Linked DNA regions of Anolis sagrei. The protein of the gene in region 1 purifies or fractionates together with the protein of each later gene. This does not show direct contact. Links are inferred from orthologs where the notes say so. Each region holds a gene or a part of one and is shown on either strand. Other genes may lie near its edges.

Region 1 (7,565 bases):
TCATGCGGCAGCTTAAAAAGTCAATGGGATTTTGGCCTGCATTAATAAAAGTATAATGTCTAGATCCAGGAAAGTCATGCTACCACACTATTCTGCCTTGGTCAGACCACACCTGGAATCACACTGTGTCCAATTCTGGACACCGCAACTGAAGGGCGATGTTGACAAGCTGGAATGGGCCCACAGGAGGGCAACTAAAATGATCAAGGGCCTGGAGAACAAGCCCTATGAGGAGCGGCTGAAAGAGCTGGGCATGTTTAGCCTGAAGAAGAGAAGGCTGAGAGGAGACATGACTAGGGCCATGTATAAATATGTCAAGGTGGAGGGAGCAAGCTTGTTTTCTGGAGACCAGGACATGGGACAATGTCTTAAAATACAGGAAAGGAGATTCCACCTGAAAGTGAGGAAGAACTTCCTAACTGTGAGAGCTGTTCAGCAGTGGAACTTTCTGACCCAAGTGGAGGCTCCTTCTTTGGAGGCTTTTAAATAGAGGCTGGAAGGCCATCTGTCAGGGGTGCGTGGAAGGCAATTTTCCTGCTTCTTGGCAGCAGATTGGACTGGATGACCCACAAGTCTCTTCCAGTTCTATGTTTCTATGATTCTATGGCAGTTGCTCTCTTGGGAGGCACCTCCATTGAAGCATTAAAACAGTCTTGAGCAGGCACAGGCAAACTTCAGCCCTCCAGGTGTTTTGGACTTCAACTCCCACAATTCCTAACAGGTCACATTCCAGAGATGCAAGGTCAGAAGGAGAAATGAGCTCAGGGGAGGAAGATGCAAGGGAGAAAGATGCAACTACAAATGGATAAGCTAATGAGCAGCAGTTAGATAAGAGATTGATGTTTCATCAACATAGAGTTTCTCATGATGCAATTCAAAGTCAAGTCACTTAGCCAAGAAGCCCTTATCACCCTTTGAAGGGAATCGGCAAGGTTTTCTGTCTACATTTGAGACACCAGCAGATGATTTCCTAAATCCAAACACCGGGAGGGCCCAAGTTTGCACACGTCTGGTGTAGACTCATATAATCCCGTTCCAAACATAATGTGGATGATCTGTTTTGATCATCTAAATCAGGGGTCCTCAAACTTTTTAAACAGAGGGCCAGGTCACAGTCCCTCAAACTGTTGGAGGGCCAGATTATAATCTGGAAAAAAATGAATGAATTCCTGTGCACACTGCACATATTTTATTTGTTGTGCAAAAAACACGTAAAATAATACAATAATTAAAATGAAGAACAATTTTAACAAATATAAAGTTAATTAGCATTTCAATGGGAAGTGTGGGCCTGCTTTTGGCTGATGAGATAGGATTGTTATTGTTGTTGTGTGCTTTCAAGTCGTATCAGGCTTAGGTTGACCCCGAGTGAGGGCCGAGTAAATGACCTCGGAGGGCCGTATCTGGCTCCCGGGCCTTAGTGTGAGGACCCCTAATCTAAATTATATGGCAGTGTAGAAGGGGCCTCGGAGGGGTAAACTACATATTGTACTCGTCCAGAGCATGAACAGACTGTTAGGAATTGTGGGAGTTGAAGTCCAAAACGCCTGGAGGTTCAATGTTTGCCCATACCTGGGCTAGAGTGTAGTCTGTCCCAGCAGCCCAATTAACTGGTAAGGTTGGTCTGAAGACAAAATTAGTACTGATGATGATGTGACAGCAATGGAGGTGGGGGCCCTAGGAGTCATTGTTGGTGAGTCCTTGGGTCAGAACACCCACTCTGTGGCTTCTCCAGCGTCTTACCTGCTGCTGCTGCTGCTGGGGGTGGCCCGCCCAATGAGCGGCCTTCGTTACTGCCCGGAGGTGGCTGGTGATGAGGCTGCGCCTGGCCCTGGCTGCTGGGGCTGAGGCTGCTGGGGCTTGGGATGCTGCTGCTGCTGCTGCTGCTGCTGCTGCTGCTGGAAGAGGAGGCTGCTGCTGCTGCTGCCGCCTCGGAGGCAGGGCTGCTGCTGGTGGTGGTGCTGCTCTTGGTGCAATAACGCGGCTCCCAAAGCGGCTGGAACTCTCCGGCTCCCTCGGAGGAGACAATGGGCTCGCAGAAGCTGCTCAGGGGCAGCACCAGAGTCATGGTGGCGGCGGCGCCTCCGATCTGCCGGCGGAGAAGGAGACAAAGATGGGGTCAGGGAGGAGAGGCGAGGCGAGGCGCAACCAACCACTCGCCCTGCCCTGCCCTGCCCTGCTTTGCCAGGCAGCGGCCATGGCAGTCAGGCTGGCACTCCGCGCTCGCCCCTTACTCTCCCCCTTCCTTCCACTCTCCACCCTCCTTCCTTCCCTTCTTTTCTTTCCTTCCCTTCTTTTCTTTCCTTCCCTTCCTACCTTCCCTCCCTCCCTTCCCCTTCATTTCCTTTCTTCCTTCCTTTACCTTCCTTCCCTTTGCTTCCCTTCCTTCCGCATCCTTCCTTTCCCTCCCTCCTTTCTTCCTTTCCTTCCTTTCCTTCCTTCCGCCTCCTTCCTTTTCCTCCCTCCTTTCTTCCCTTCCTTTCCCTTCCTACCCTTCGCCTCCCTTCCTTCCTTCCCTCCTTTCCCTTCCCTCCTTTCCCTTCCTTCCTTTCCCTCCCCCTCCCTCTCTTCCTTCCTTCCTTCCTTCCTTCCTTCCTTCCTTCCTTCCTTCCTTCCCTCCCTTCCCTTCCCTTCCCTTCCCTTCCCTTTTCCTCCCTCCCTCCTTCCATCCTTCTCAACCCCGGCTTGCCTTCCTGCCCCGTTGTCCCCTCTCCGCCGCCCCTTGTCTGTGGCTTTCGCCTTGCCCGCATCTCCCCTTCCAATGGCATGATTCTCGCCCCGCTCCAAAACACAAACGAGGGGGAAGCAGGTCCAGTAAGTGACCCCTACTACACACAGCCCCAAGGATCCCGGTGGCACTTACTTCCAGGTGAAGGTGTTTCAGGTTGGTCGCCTTTTCCCCTACTGTCAAAGGCGAGCCTTCCCTCCTTGGCTCTCTTGGCTCTGCCTTGCTCCCTTTGCCACTCACGGCTCTCTCTCCCTCTCTACACTTAATTCAGGCACTCTCCTCCGCCTCCTTTTCCTTCCCCCCCCCCCCTCCCGAGAAAGAAAGAAAGAAAGGAAGCTGTAAAATCCAAACAAACCCGCGATGCTCCCAGATTGCAAGAGGGATCACTTGATTCTCTCCACATTCAGCGACCTCAGCAGCAACGACATGGTATGGCTTGTTTGTGCGCCTCGCTCTTCTCTCTGCCTCTCCTTCCCTGGCTTTCTTCTCTCCCCCCCCCCCCTCTCTCTCCCTCTCTCTTTTCTTTCCCTCCCCAAGCGAAACAGAGCGAGACTCTTAGGTCGTTGTTTCCACCAGCCCCGATTGGGCTGAACTGGATCTGCCTCCAGTCAAAACACTGAGATTAAGACAGAAAATTGGCTCCGGTTTCAAGCCGTGAGTTGCAGTCCCACAGGAGCCAAGCACAACATCAGTGGAGCAAGCAGAATATTAAACAGGAGCAGGAACTCCGGGGCCAGAGCCAGGCCGGGGAGTGAGGGGAGCCCCTTCCCTCCCTCCCTCTATCCATCCACCCAGAGAGAGGGAAAACTTTCTGAAAGAGGCAAGCAGACCCACTTCAGAAGACACTTTCTTCTACTTACAGTCCTTCACCCTGCTCTTTGGCACACAAACCAGACAGCCTCCTCTGCCTTGCCTTCCACTTTCCAAGAAACAAGAATAAATGTCTTTCCTTTTCAAGATTCCAGATATTTCTGAACCCAAGTGCCAAAAAAACTCACAAGGAAAGGGAGGGAGGGCAAGGGCAAGACGGGAATGGAAAAGCAGCAAGAGAAGGATTCAAAACCTGCCTGGACTAGATTAATGGGACAGGAAGGGTCATGACGAAGAATAATAAATCAAGATGAAGCCAGACCCAATTTGGTTGCTGTCCAAATGTCTGAAGAATCTCTTTGTTATGTCAGCCAAGAATGGAGGGGTGTGGATGCATTCACCCCTGAGCGCTGGGCTGGGCTGGGGCCAAAAAGCTTGAAGCCAAGAAGCAACTGCTTCCCAAAATGTCCACTTGGAAATAACTAACAGATCTGGGCAAACTTGAGCTCTCCAGGCTGATGCGAAAAACGTAGCTGTCTGAGGCTGTTAGGAATGGTGGGAGTTGTAGTCCAAAACACCTGGAGAGCCCAAGTTTGCCCATGACTCCTTTACGTGTTGTCTATCTTTCAACATCCTTCACAATCTTGAATGTAATAGATTCAGATTCTCTGAAAGTATAATATCCCAGATCCTATATAGCAGCGATTCCCAACCTTTTTTTTGACCAGGGACAACCTTGACCAGGTCCCACCTTGACCAGCACCCATCTTGACCTGGGCCCAACCTTGACCTGGGCCCACTTTGACCTGGGCCCACTTTGACCTGGGCCCACCTTGACCTGGGCCCACCTTGACCTGGGCCCACCTTGACCTGGGCCCACCTTGACCTGGGCCCACCTTGACCTGGGCCCACCTTGACCAGGGACCACCTTGACCAGGGCCCACCTTGACCAGGGACCATTTTGACCAGGGAACACTTTGACCAGGGACCACAAGCATGTGGACAATTTCAACAGAAAGGAGGAAACCATGAAAATGAAGAAAATCTGGCTACCAGCATCTAAAATCAGGACAGTAAATAAAGAGCAACATACAAAAAACAGGGGAGTTCTAGAAGACAATCAATTGGGGCCAGCTAATGTCTTCCAACAAAGGATCTCCCAGGCAGCAATCAGCTAGGCTTTGAAGCTACATGGCCATTAAATGCAAATCAAGGTAGCCAATTGCAATATTGACACTTGCCTCAAGCAGACAAGAGTTCTTTCTCCCACCCTGGACATTCCAGATATATAAACCTCACAATCTCTGAGGATGCCTACCATAAATGTGGATGAAATGTCAGGAGAGAATGCTTCTGGAACATGGACATACAGCATGAAAAAGTCACAGCAAACCACCAATAAAGTACTCCTTAACCCATTATGTTGTCCAGCAAGCTATGAAATGGTCATGTAGCCACCACTCATTGTTTAACATATTTTGGAAATGTTTCCCACACAGGAATATATTAGATATGTCTTCCTTTTAAAAAAAACCACTTTGTTAATTCTGTTTTCTCATCACAGTCCACTCTTCCTAGGAAGGGATATTAGTTCAGAACAACTTAGTCATGGTTAATTTCTTTTGAAATTGATTAAATTCAGGTTACTTGCCACTACTTGTTCCACCGATTTTAATAGCATTTGGGTGTACTTGAATGGGAGACCGCCAACGAACACCAGGTGCTGTAGGCTATAATTCAGAGGAAGGAACCAGCAAAACCACCTCTGAGTATTCCTTGCCTAAGGAAACCCTATGAAATGCATGGGTTCTCCATAAGTAAACAGGCAACTTGAAGGCAGACTCGTTTTTTATTTTTGGGACTCATTTTTTATTTTTGTAAAATGTGTAAATTAAATTATAAATTAAATTAAATTATAAAAACAGTCATACAAACCAGTTCTCTGAAGGAATTCTCCACAAGGAGGTACAGTGAGAGCCACAATATCCCTACGCCAGTGATTCCCAACCAAGGACCACTTGAGCAGGGACCACTTTGACCAGGGACCACTCTCCAATATTAGTCCCAAAAGGGTTAAGAATCAATTTTTTATTTCAATTTCAATTACTTCTACCCCGCCCTTCTCACACCCGAGGGGGATTCAGGGCAGCTTACAAGCAAAGGCACGATTCGATGCCTATATCACATTATACAAAACATATAAAAACAGTTTAAGCAAACTGGTCAACTTTAGATTTGGTTTGGTTATTTGGGGTGCTGATTTGGAAAATTGCAGTGGATAAGACCACATAAGCTCTAGTTTCTGATGCAGAACATATGCCATCCAGTAGTCGCCATCTGCTCGCCCACAGAAAACCATATTTAATAATCTAGACCTGATGTGGTAGCAGCAATCTTTCATGGGTAGTCAGCCTCTCCCCACCCGACATCCCTGTTGCCTCCACACTAGTTGCTCTTGTTGCCACGTGGTTTTGAAGCAACGGTGTAGTAATGGTGAGGCCAGGAACCATATTTTCATTCTTGCAGACCACTGGTGGTCGCTGGACCATAGGTTGGGAACCACAGCACTAACAGGTGAAGACATTTTTATTTAGGCAAACTTTTGAATCTTGAATGTTTAATTAGGAAATTATAAGATGTTCATAAGAAAAGTTGTGTTTTAAAATGTTTTAATGTTTATTATCTTTTATCGAGGAGCCCCCAGTGGTGCCATGGGTTGTGTTGTGCCGGCAGAACTGAATCATAGAATCATAGAGTTGGAAGAAACTTAATGGGCCATCCAGTCCAACCCCCTGCCAAGAAGCGGGAATATTGCATTCAAAGAACCCCTGACAGATGGCCAACAGGTCACAGGTTTGAGTCCAGGGAGAGCGCGGATGAGCTCCCTCTATCAGCTACAACTCCCCATTGTAGGGACATGAGAGAAGCCTCCCACAAGGATAATAAAACATCAAAACATCCGAGTGTCCCCTGGGCAACATCCTTGCAGATGACCAATTCTCTCACACCAGAAGCAACTTGCAGTTTCTCGTCACTTCTCACACAATTTTTAAAATCGAAAATATATTTTAAATATATTTAATTCCTTTTTAATGTTTTTACAATAATTGTTTTAATTGTTATTTTTTACATTTATATCTATTTTACCCGTTGAGATTAGGCAAACCCCCACTCTAGCAGCCTTTAAGAAAGATCTAAAGACTTGGCTTTTCCGATGTGCCTTTGGAGAGTGACCATATCTTCCATTTCTGTCTGTTTCATCTACAGAGTTGTTCTCATGATGCACTTTCTCCCCGCCCTTAATGAAGCTCTAACCCCACTGTTCATCCCTTTGAACTCCTCCCACACAAATACACTTTTCCACTCCTATTTCACCTAGGGTTTTATCATTTTATCTTGTGCATTTGGCCCACCCATTGTATTTTATTTTCCACTATGTTATTTGGCACTGCTTATTTTATTCTGTTATTTTATTTATTTTATTTTGTTACTTTATTTGCTTTGTATTTTATTTTGTTATATTGTATTTTTGGGCTTGGCCTCATGTTAGCCGCCCTGAGTCCCCTTTGGGGAGATGGTGACAGGGTGTAAATAAAAATTATTATCATCATCATCATCATCTGCCTTGAATCCTATACAGGGAGAAAGATAGGATATAAATTAATAAATAATAACTAATAAATAAATAAAATACTGTATTCCTGAGTTTGGCGCTAGCTCCATAAGCGGAAGGAATGTCAAGTCATGCTGCCTCTTACATATTTGTACCACTATGTGATGGGATCATAATAAATTGTGGCAAGTTCTTGGTGGTATGGGCATAACAAATCACATTGTCTGTCTCCTGAGGAATCTGTATAAGGACCAAGTAGCAACAGTCAGAACTGACCATGGAACAATAGACTGGTTCAAGATTGGGAAAGGCGTATGACAGGGTTGTATACTCTCACCCAACCTATTAAACTTGTATGCGGAGCACATCATGCGATGTGTGGGGCTTGACAAATCCATGGCTGGAGTTAAAATT
Region 2 (8,433 bases), on another chromosome or scaffold:
GTGGTCAGCAAAAAAGGTGCCAACAATACCTTAAAAAAAATAAAAGCCTTTTTACTGTTTTAAAAGATGATCTAATTGGGCAAATCATATTTTCTTCGTCCGGGTGATAATGGCTGACACCACCAGTACTACCCTGAATTTTATGTCAAAGTCTCTGCCCAAATATGCCGGGCTGCATATGCAACACAGATACATTGCAGTTGACGTGAATATCGTCACCACTGTTTCATCCACAAAGTAAAAAAAGAAGTCGTCTTCAGCATTTGTTTTTTAATATATTGCACATTAAATGAAATACAACACAGAAGTTGTCATGAACTTGTCGTGAGCTCACAAAATGGAACACGTGAACAGAAGTGACGAAGGACACGGAACACACCACACCCGACTGTAACTCATTCCAGAAACGAAACAGGGCCAGGGCTCCTGGATGGGCATTTAGAGGAGCTGGCCATGCTGATTTCTCACCAGTCCTTGTTTCCAGTCCTTCTGCTGAGCTGGACCAATGGTTTGAGTCAGCATTGCAAGGCTGCTCCCGATGCGGCTAGCATCTCAGAAGCAATGTCACAAAGCACTATGTTTCTCTTACTGCTTTTTAAAATGCGAGCTCAAATTTCCTCTGCAGACGGCTATCTTACAGCATATATCCCAATTGTTTAGCTTTTCAAACATATTGTCTATAATATATGTGTGTGTGTGTGTGTACACACACACACATACATTATAATAAAATATATAATATAATGTGTTGTCGAAGGTTTTCATGGTTGGAATCACTGGGTCTCTGTGAGGTTTCCAGGCTGTGTGGCCATGCACCAGAAGAATTCACTCCTGACGTTTTGCCCACATCTATGGCAGGCATCTTCATAGGTTGTGAGGTCTGTTGGAAACTACACACACCCTGTGTGTATGTATATATTATATATGTGTGTGTATATATTATATATGTGTGTGTATATATATATATATATACACACATGTATGTGTGTATATCTATAATATAAGTGTGTGTGTGTGCGCGCGCATGCTTATTTATGTTTAATTTTCAGGTTTTTTTCGGTTATATTTCTAATCTTATATTGAGATTTTTTTATCCACTGTTTTGACTTGTTATTTGTTTGTTTTTGGCACTGAATGTTTGCCATTTTGTTACTTCGCTGGAAATTGCCCTGAGTCCCCATGGGGAGATAGGGTGGTTTATAAATCAAATTTACATATACATACACACACACACACACACCAGCTGTCCCCTGCCACGCGTTGCTGTGGCCCAGTCTGTGTATATGCGTTTTGTGTATGTATATGTGAGTGTATATATTTATGTATATGTGTGTTTGCAAATATATATGTGGTTTTGTGCATGTGTTGTAATGTAATTTTCTGTTTTTTGGCTTTTAAGTCCCTTCTGCTGTGTTTTCCAGTGTTTTTATAAGTGATGGTCACTTGTTGCCCTGATAGGTTGTTTGTGTCCGAATTTGGTGTCAATCCGTCCATTGGTTTTTGAGTTATGCTAATCCCACAAACTAACATTTTTATTTATATAGATACTAGCTGTCCCCTGCCACGCGTTGCTGTGGCCCACATGGGGGTTCTGTGTGGGAGGTTTGGCCCAATTCTTTCGTTGGAGGGGTTCAGAATGCTCTGTGATTGTAGGTGAACTATAAATCCCAGCAACTACAACTCCCAAATGACAAAATCAATTTTTTGAGTGAAGGACATACATTGGGTTGTTAGGTGTCTTGTGTCCAAATTTGGTGTCAGTTCGTCCAGTGGTTTTTGGGTTATGTTAATCCCACAAACTAACATTACATTTTTATTTATATAGATATATAATCAAACACAGACCAATGTAAGATATTTTGAAAATTTAGCGTGACAGTGTAAGAAAAAGCTGGCCAGCTCCACAGACCACCATATTCCAGATTCAACAGAACATATCTGGCAGAGAACTCCATACAACCCCGATCACGCAGGCAGGCTGGTGTGCATTTTAAAAATCATTTTCATAGCCCTACACTGGGAAGCTTTGCAGTACTGCAGACCAAAGGAAACGTCGTTTGCCTATACTGCATTTTTTTCAATTCTAAGGCATGTCTAAAAATTGGATATATCTGAGGGCCTTTCCACAGAGCTATATAGCTCAGAATATCCAGGCAGCATCTGCTTTGAACTGGATTATCTAAGTCTATACTGCCATATATTCCAGTTCAAAGCAGACAAAGTGGGATTTTATCCAGCTGTGTGGAAGGGGCCTGAAATCCCTTCGACAATGCCAGAAAAAAAATCCAGATTATCTATTTGAAGTAGATCATATGACAGTCTAAAAGGAGATTTAGAATTGGATTTTTTTAGTGAATTATTGTTGATTTCAGGTATAAGCAGAATTAATTGATGTACATTTTGATCTCACACAATTCCTCCATTCGGTAGAAAATATTTCATATGGTTGGTGTATTTTTGAAATAAAATAAAATATTATAAAAAAATTAAAAATAAATGTTGGATGACATCTTTTGCATTTTTTTGGTGGTGGCACCGAAATGTGGTTGCGCCATACATTCAGTGGCGTCTTACCATCGAAGAAAGACGGCTCAGCATCCGACACACACGCGGACAGCCTTTACATAACCTTGCAGGTAGGAAGTGCGAAGCCTCCTCATGCAAGGCCCCATCTACACTGCCATGTAATGCAGTTATACTCATATTATTGAGTGAGATGAGCTTATGTTGCAATATATAACCCAGTTTGCTCTGCATGATCATGACAGTGCTGATGAGGCCTAAGACTCATTTAGTTTGGTTCTAGATGCAAAAAAGAGGCATTTCTATGGAGGGATTCCCCCCAAAGGCACCTTCTCCAAGGAGGGGTGGCTGCAGCATCAGCAAGTGAAGAGAAGGGGAGAGGCCATAATGTGGCATCAACCCAAGAAGGGGCTTACCTTCGGTCACATAGTTGTGGTCGCGAAGGAAGCCATGGTTAATCTGCGGCGTCTCCGTGTCCTCGCCCATTGACGGCAGGATTACTCAGCATGCCCCTCCGCAGCGGACCCGGGGAATCGGCAGAGGTCGCCGCAAGAGCACCGTCCATGCTGCTGCTCCTCCTCCTGCGGCGGATCCGGCTGCTTCCCCCGCCAACAACGCCTAGCACGGGCAGCAAGGCTCGCGCCGCATGGTGAGCTTCAGCAAGGCCGGGGCGGCTCCCACGCGCTAAGCAGGGCGCGCGCGACGAAGAAGAAGAAGGCAGCAGACTGCAGCAGACGTCGCCTGGCAGAAGCGGGCTGCAGTGGCGGATGCTGCTCCTGCTGCTGCTGTCATCTGCCTCTGCTGCAATTCCCGCAGGCCCCGCCCCCCAGGACCCTGGCAGCCAATCAGGAGCGGCGTCCCTGGGAGGAAAAAAAAAACGGGTGGGTGGGGGGAGAGGGGATGCGCATCCCAAGGCCAGCTCGCCTGCCCGGAAGCAAAGGCTCCACATTTTGGAAGAGGGCCCAATCTCAGGCTTTGGGAAATGGGCTTCTTGGGTCCTATTGGTGCTTAGCAACACTCAAAAAGCAGGGCCAGCCAACACCTCCCAACAAAGGATTCCCCTGGGCAGGAAGCAGCCAGTCTTTGAAGCTGCAAGGTTATTTATTTATCATAGAATCATAGAGTTGGAAGAGACCTCATGGGCCATCCAGTCCAACCCCCTGCCAAGAAGCAGGAATATTGCATTCAAATCACCCCTGACAGATGGCCATCCAGCCTCTGCTTAAAAGCTTCCAAAGAAGGAGCCTCCACCACACTCCGGGGCAGAGAGTTCCAATGGAGGACCTTCTTGCAGCAACACCAGAAGCACTCTAATACTGGTCAAAGGACATTTAATCAACTACCAACTCACAAATTTTGTATTTTGTCTGTTTGTTTGTTTGTTTGTTTTGTTCTGTTAGAAATGTAATATAATTACCTGGTTGCCCTGACACGACAAATAAATATCCCTGACAGATTGCCATCCAGCCTCTGTTTAAAAGCTTCCAAAGAAGGAGCCTCCACCACACTCCGGGGCAGAGAGTTCCACTGCTGAACGGCTCTCACAGTCAGGAAATTCTTCCTCATGTTCAGATGGAATCTCCTTTCTTGTAATTTGAAGCCATTGTTCCGTGTCCTAGTCTCCAGGGAAGCAGAAAACAAGCTTGCTCCCTCCTCCTTGTGGCTTCCTCTCACATATTTATACATGGCTATCATATCTCCTCTCAGCCTTCTCTTCTTCAGGCTAAACATGCCCAGTTCCTTAAGCCGCTCCTCATAGGGCTTGTTCTCCAGACCCTTGATCATTTTAGTCGCCCTCCTCTGGACACATTCCAGCTTGTCAATATCTCTCTTGAATTGTGGTGCCCAGAATTGGACACAATATTCCAGATGTGGTCTAACCAAAGCAGAATAGAGGGGTAGCATTACTTCTCTAGATCTAGACACTATGCTCCTATTGTTGTTCATTCATTCAGTTGTCTCCGACTCTTCGTGACCTCATGGACCAGCCCACGCCAGAGCTCCCTGTCGGCCGTCACCACCCCCAGCTCCTTCAAAGTCAGTCCTGTCGCTTCAAGGATGCCATCCATCCATCTTGTCCTTGGTCGGCCCCTCTTCCTTTTGCCTTCCACTTTCCCCAGCATAATTGTCTTCTCTAGGCTTTCCTGTCTCCTCATGATGTGGCCAAAGTACTTCAACTTTGTCTCTAGTATCCTTCCCTCCGATGAGCAGTCGGGCTTTATTTCCTGGAGGATGGACTGGTTGGATCTTCTCGCAGTCCAAGGCAGTCTCAGAACTTTCCTCCAACACCACAGTTCAAAAGCATCTATCTTCCTTTGCTCAGCCTTCCCTAAGGTCCAGCTCTCACATCCGTAGGTTACTACAGGGAATACCATGGCTTTGACTAGGCGGATCTTTGTTGCCAGTCTGATGTCTCTACTCTTTATTATTTTATCGAGATTGGACATTGCTCTCCTCCCAAGAAGTAAGCGTATTCTGATTTCCTGGCCACAGTCTGCATCTGCACTAATCTTTGCGCCTAGAAATACAAAGTCTGTCACGGCCTCCACATTTTCTCCCTCTATTTTCCAGTTGTCAATCATTCTTGTTGCCATAATCTTGGTTTTTTTGATGTTTAGCTGCAACCCAGCTTTTGCGCTTTCTTCTTTCACCTTGATTAGAAGGCTCCTCAGCTCCTCCTCGCTTTCGGCCATCAGAGTGGTGTCATCTGCATATCTAAGGTTGTTAATGTTTCTTCCAGCAATTTTCACCCCAGCCTTGCATTCATCAAGCCCCGCACATCGCATGATGTGTTCTGCATACAAGTTAAAAAGGTTGGGTGAGAGTATGCAGCCTTGCCGTACGCCTTTCCCAATCTTGAACCAGTCTGTTGTTCCGTGGTCAGTTCTGACTGTTGCTACTTGGTCCTTGTACAGATTCCTCAGGAGAGAGATAAGGTGATTTGGTATGCCCATACCACCAAGAACTTGCCACAATTTATTATGATCCACACAGTCAAAGGCTTTAGAATAGTCAATGAAGCAGAAATAGATGTTTTTCTGAAACTCCCTGCCTTTCTCCATTATCCAGCGGATATTGGCAATTTGGTCTCTCGTTCCTCTGCCTTTTCTAAACCCAGCTTGAACATCTGGCAACTCTCGCTCCATGTATTGCTGGAGTCTTCCTTGCAGGATCTTGAGCATTACCTTACTGGCATGAGAAATAGGAGAAATGCTCCTATTAATGCAGGCCAAAATCCCATTGGCTTTTTTTGTCCCCACATCACATTGTTGGCTCATGTTTAACTTGTTGTCCACGAGGACTCCAAGATCTTTTTCACACGTACTGCTCTCGAGCCAGGTCATGCAATACTAATCAAGGTGACCATTATTGCAACATTCACATTTGCCTCAAGCAGACAAGGGATTCCGGTGGCGCAGTGGGTTAAAGTGCTGAGCTGCTGAACTTGCTGATTGAAAGGTCACAAGTTCAAATCTGAGGAGCTGTGTAAACTCCTGCTGTTAGTCCCGGCTTCTGCCAACCTAGCAGTTCGAAAACATGCAAATGTGAGTAGATCAAATGTGAGTAGATGTAACGCCCTCTACACTGGCCTTCCTTTGTCAGTGATCCGGAAACTGAAGCTGGTGCAAAATGCGGCGGCTCGTCTTCTTGCTGGGGTGCTGGCGAGGTGTTGTATCACCCCAATTCTACAACAGCTGCACTGGCTACCAATTGAGTACCGGATTACTTTCAAGGTGCCAGTATTAACCTTTAAGGCCTTATTTAGTCTGGGCCGGCATACCTGAGGGCCCGCTTATCCCCCTACCAACCCCAGAGATTACTTCTGTCCGAAGACTGAAAATTTGCTGAAAGTCCCCAACATCCGGAGTTATCATCTGTCCTCTACTAGGCAGAGAGTCTTCTCGATCGTAGCCCCTTATTTATGGAATGCCTTGCCTGTTGAAACCCGATCTATCCGAGACCTTGCTATTCGGAAAGCCTGTAAAACCTTTCTCTTCCAACAAGCTTTTGATGGGTGAATAGCTTGAGACTCTGTCTGTTCTTGTTTTTATTGTATTTTAAAGTTAATTGTATTGTTTTAATCTGCTGTAAACCACTCCGAGCCAAATCGGGAGTAGTGGTATACAAGTAAAATAAATAAATAAATAAATATCAATAGGTATCGCTCCGGCGGGAAGGTAACAGCACTCCATGCAGTAAGCGCTGTTTTAATTAAACTACTTGATACAAACTGGGTATTTGTTTGGTTCATCTCTACCTAAATAACAGTAGAGCCCTGGCAACGTGACACACAGTGGGTTAAACTGCTGAGCTGCTGAACTTGCTTAGCAAAAGGTTAGTGGTTCGAATCCGGGGAGCGGTGTGAACTCCCTCTGTTAGCCCCAGCTTCTGCCAACCTAGCAGTTCGAAAACACGCAGATGTGAGTAGATCAATAGGTACCGCTCTGGAGGGAAGGTACTGGCGCTCCATGCAGTCATGCCGGCCTTATGACCTTGGAGGTGTCTATGGACAACGCCAGCTCTTCGGCTTAGAAATGGAGATTAGCACCACACCCCAGAGTCGGACACGACTAGACTTAATGTCAGGGCGAAACCTTTACCTTTACTATACCCCAGCAAGGGTCAACTCTTGACTGGACACAAAGGCTCCATCTTCACTGCCATATAAAAACTAAATAGTAGTTTGCTGTGAGTTTTCCGGGCTGTATGGCCCTGATGTTTCGTCCTCATCCCCTGATGTTTTGTCCTCATCTATGGCAGGCATCCTCAGAGGTTGAGGGGTCAGTAGGAAACTAGACAAGTAGAGGTTATATATCTGTGGAATGTCTAGGGTGGGAGAAAGAACTCTTGTCTGTTGAAGGCAAGTGTGAATGTTGTAACTTACCACCTTGATTAGCATTTAATGACCTTGCAGCTTCAAAGCCTGGCTGCTTCCTGCCTGGAGAATCCTTTATTTATAGGTGTTAGCTGGCGCTGATTGATTCTTGTCTGGATTTCCCTTCTTTTTAGTGTTGTTATTTATTTTTTGTTCTGACTTTTGTCCTGATTTGTACTGGGAGGAGGGCAGGGGTGTTGAGCGATACATAACTAAGGAATGTATAAAATGTCATTTAAGGAATATTTACTTTTGGAATTATGTATATTGAAATAAGTCCTGTATGGCAAAATTTTGTTGATTGTTGGGATGTATCAAATAAAAAAAAATTGGGAGACTGAAAAAAAAAGAGAGAGAGATAGCCTTTCCGGCTACCGAAAGGTATTATCAGTGCTACCCAAAAGTCATTCAGTAGTATAGATTCAAATTTAATTTTTCAAGCAGAAGACCCAGAGCAGAAGACCCAGAGTTCTGCTTCAGTGCCTACTTTAAAGCTATTGAACATTGATAGTAAATACGTATGTATATATGTATGTATTTTTGCCTGCGGATGTGGGTAGCTACAACTGCTGCAAAATCAAATTGTTGGCCCTCTTGGAAGAGAAAGTCCATCAGCTTGAGATCTTTGTATCTATTCTTTAGCATATTAAGAACCATTAGATTTTCTTGGACAGAGAACTGAGGGAAAAACTAACAAAATTAATTTCAACGCAGAGAAATGTAATACAGAAAAAACAAAATTAATAGATACAGGATGAGTGACACTAACAACAGTAGATGAGAAAGATGAGAAAGAGATCTAGCAGTCTTATTAGGCCATAAGGTGAATATGATTACATAGTATGATGTGACAGCTAAAAAAGCCTATCAATTCAAGGCTGTAACAATAGAAATATGTATAGAGCAAGGGAAATAATAGTAGCACTCTATTCTGCTTTGGTCAGATATTAATAAGCTGGAAAATATCCAGTGGCAGATAACCATAATGGTAAAACTTATGGATGCCAAGCCCTATTAGGAGCAGCTTAGAGAGC

The links. The genes of interacting proteins can lie anywhere in the genome.
Region 2: the proteins of SERTAD4 (region 1) and PPP2R2C purify together in Homo sapiens (affinity purification with mass spectrometry; 3 studies listed by BioGRID and IntAct, counting the BioPlex papers as one, with this or other methods). This does not show direct contact. The link is inferred for Anolis sagrei from reciprocal best matches to the Homo sapiens genes SERTAD4 and PPP2R2C.

What each region holds. Positions count from the first base shown.
Region 1 is NC_090021.1:31,232,639-31,240,203, reverse strand, and holds the start of SERTAD4 (SERTA domain-containing protein 4), read right to left. Parts: upstream 3,226-7,565; 5' UTR 3,132-3,225; coding exon 3,084-3,131; intron 3,014-3,083; exon of another isoform or gene 2,864-3,013; intron 2,090-2,863; coding exon 1,744-2,089; intron 1-1,743.
Region 2 is NC_090025.1:104,884,231-104,892,663, forward strand, and holds the start of PPP2R2C (protein phosphatase 2, regulatory subunit B, gamma), read right to left. Parts: upstream 3,340-8,433; 5' UTR 3,010-3,339; coding exon of another isoform or gene 2,940-3,009; intron 1-2,939. UniProt on the Homo sapiens protein: The B regulatory subunit might modulate substrate selectivity and catalytic activity, and might also direct the localization of the catalytic enzyme to a particular subcellular compartment.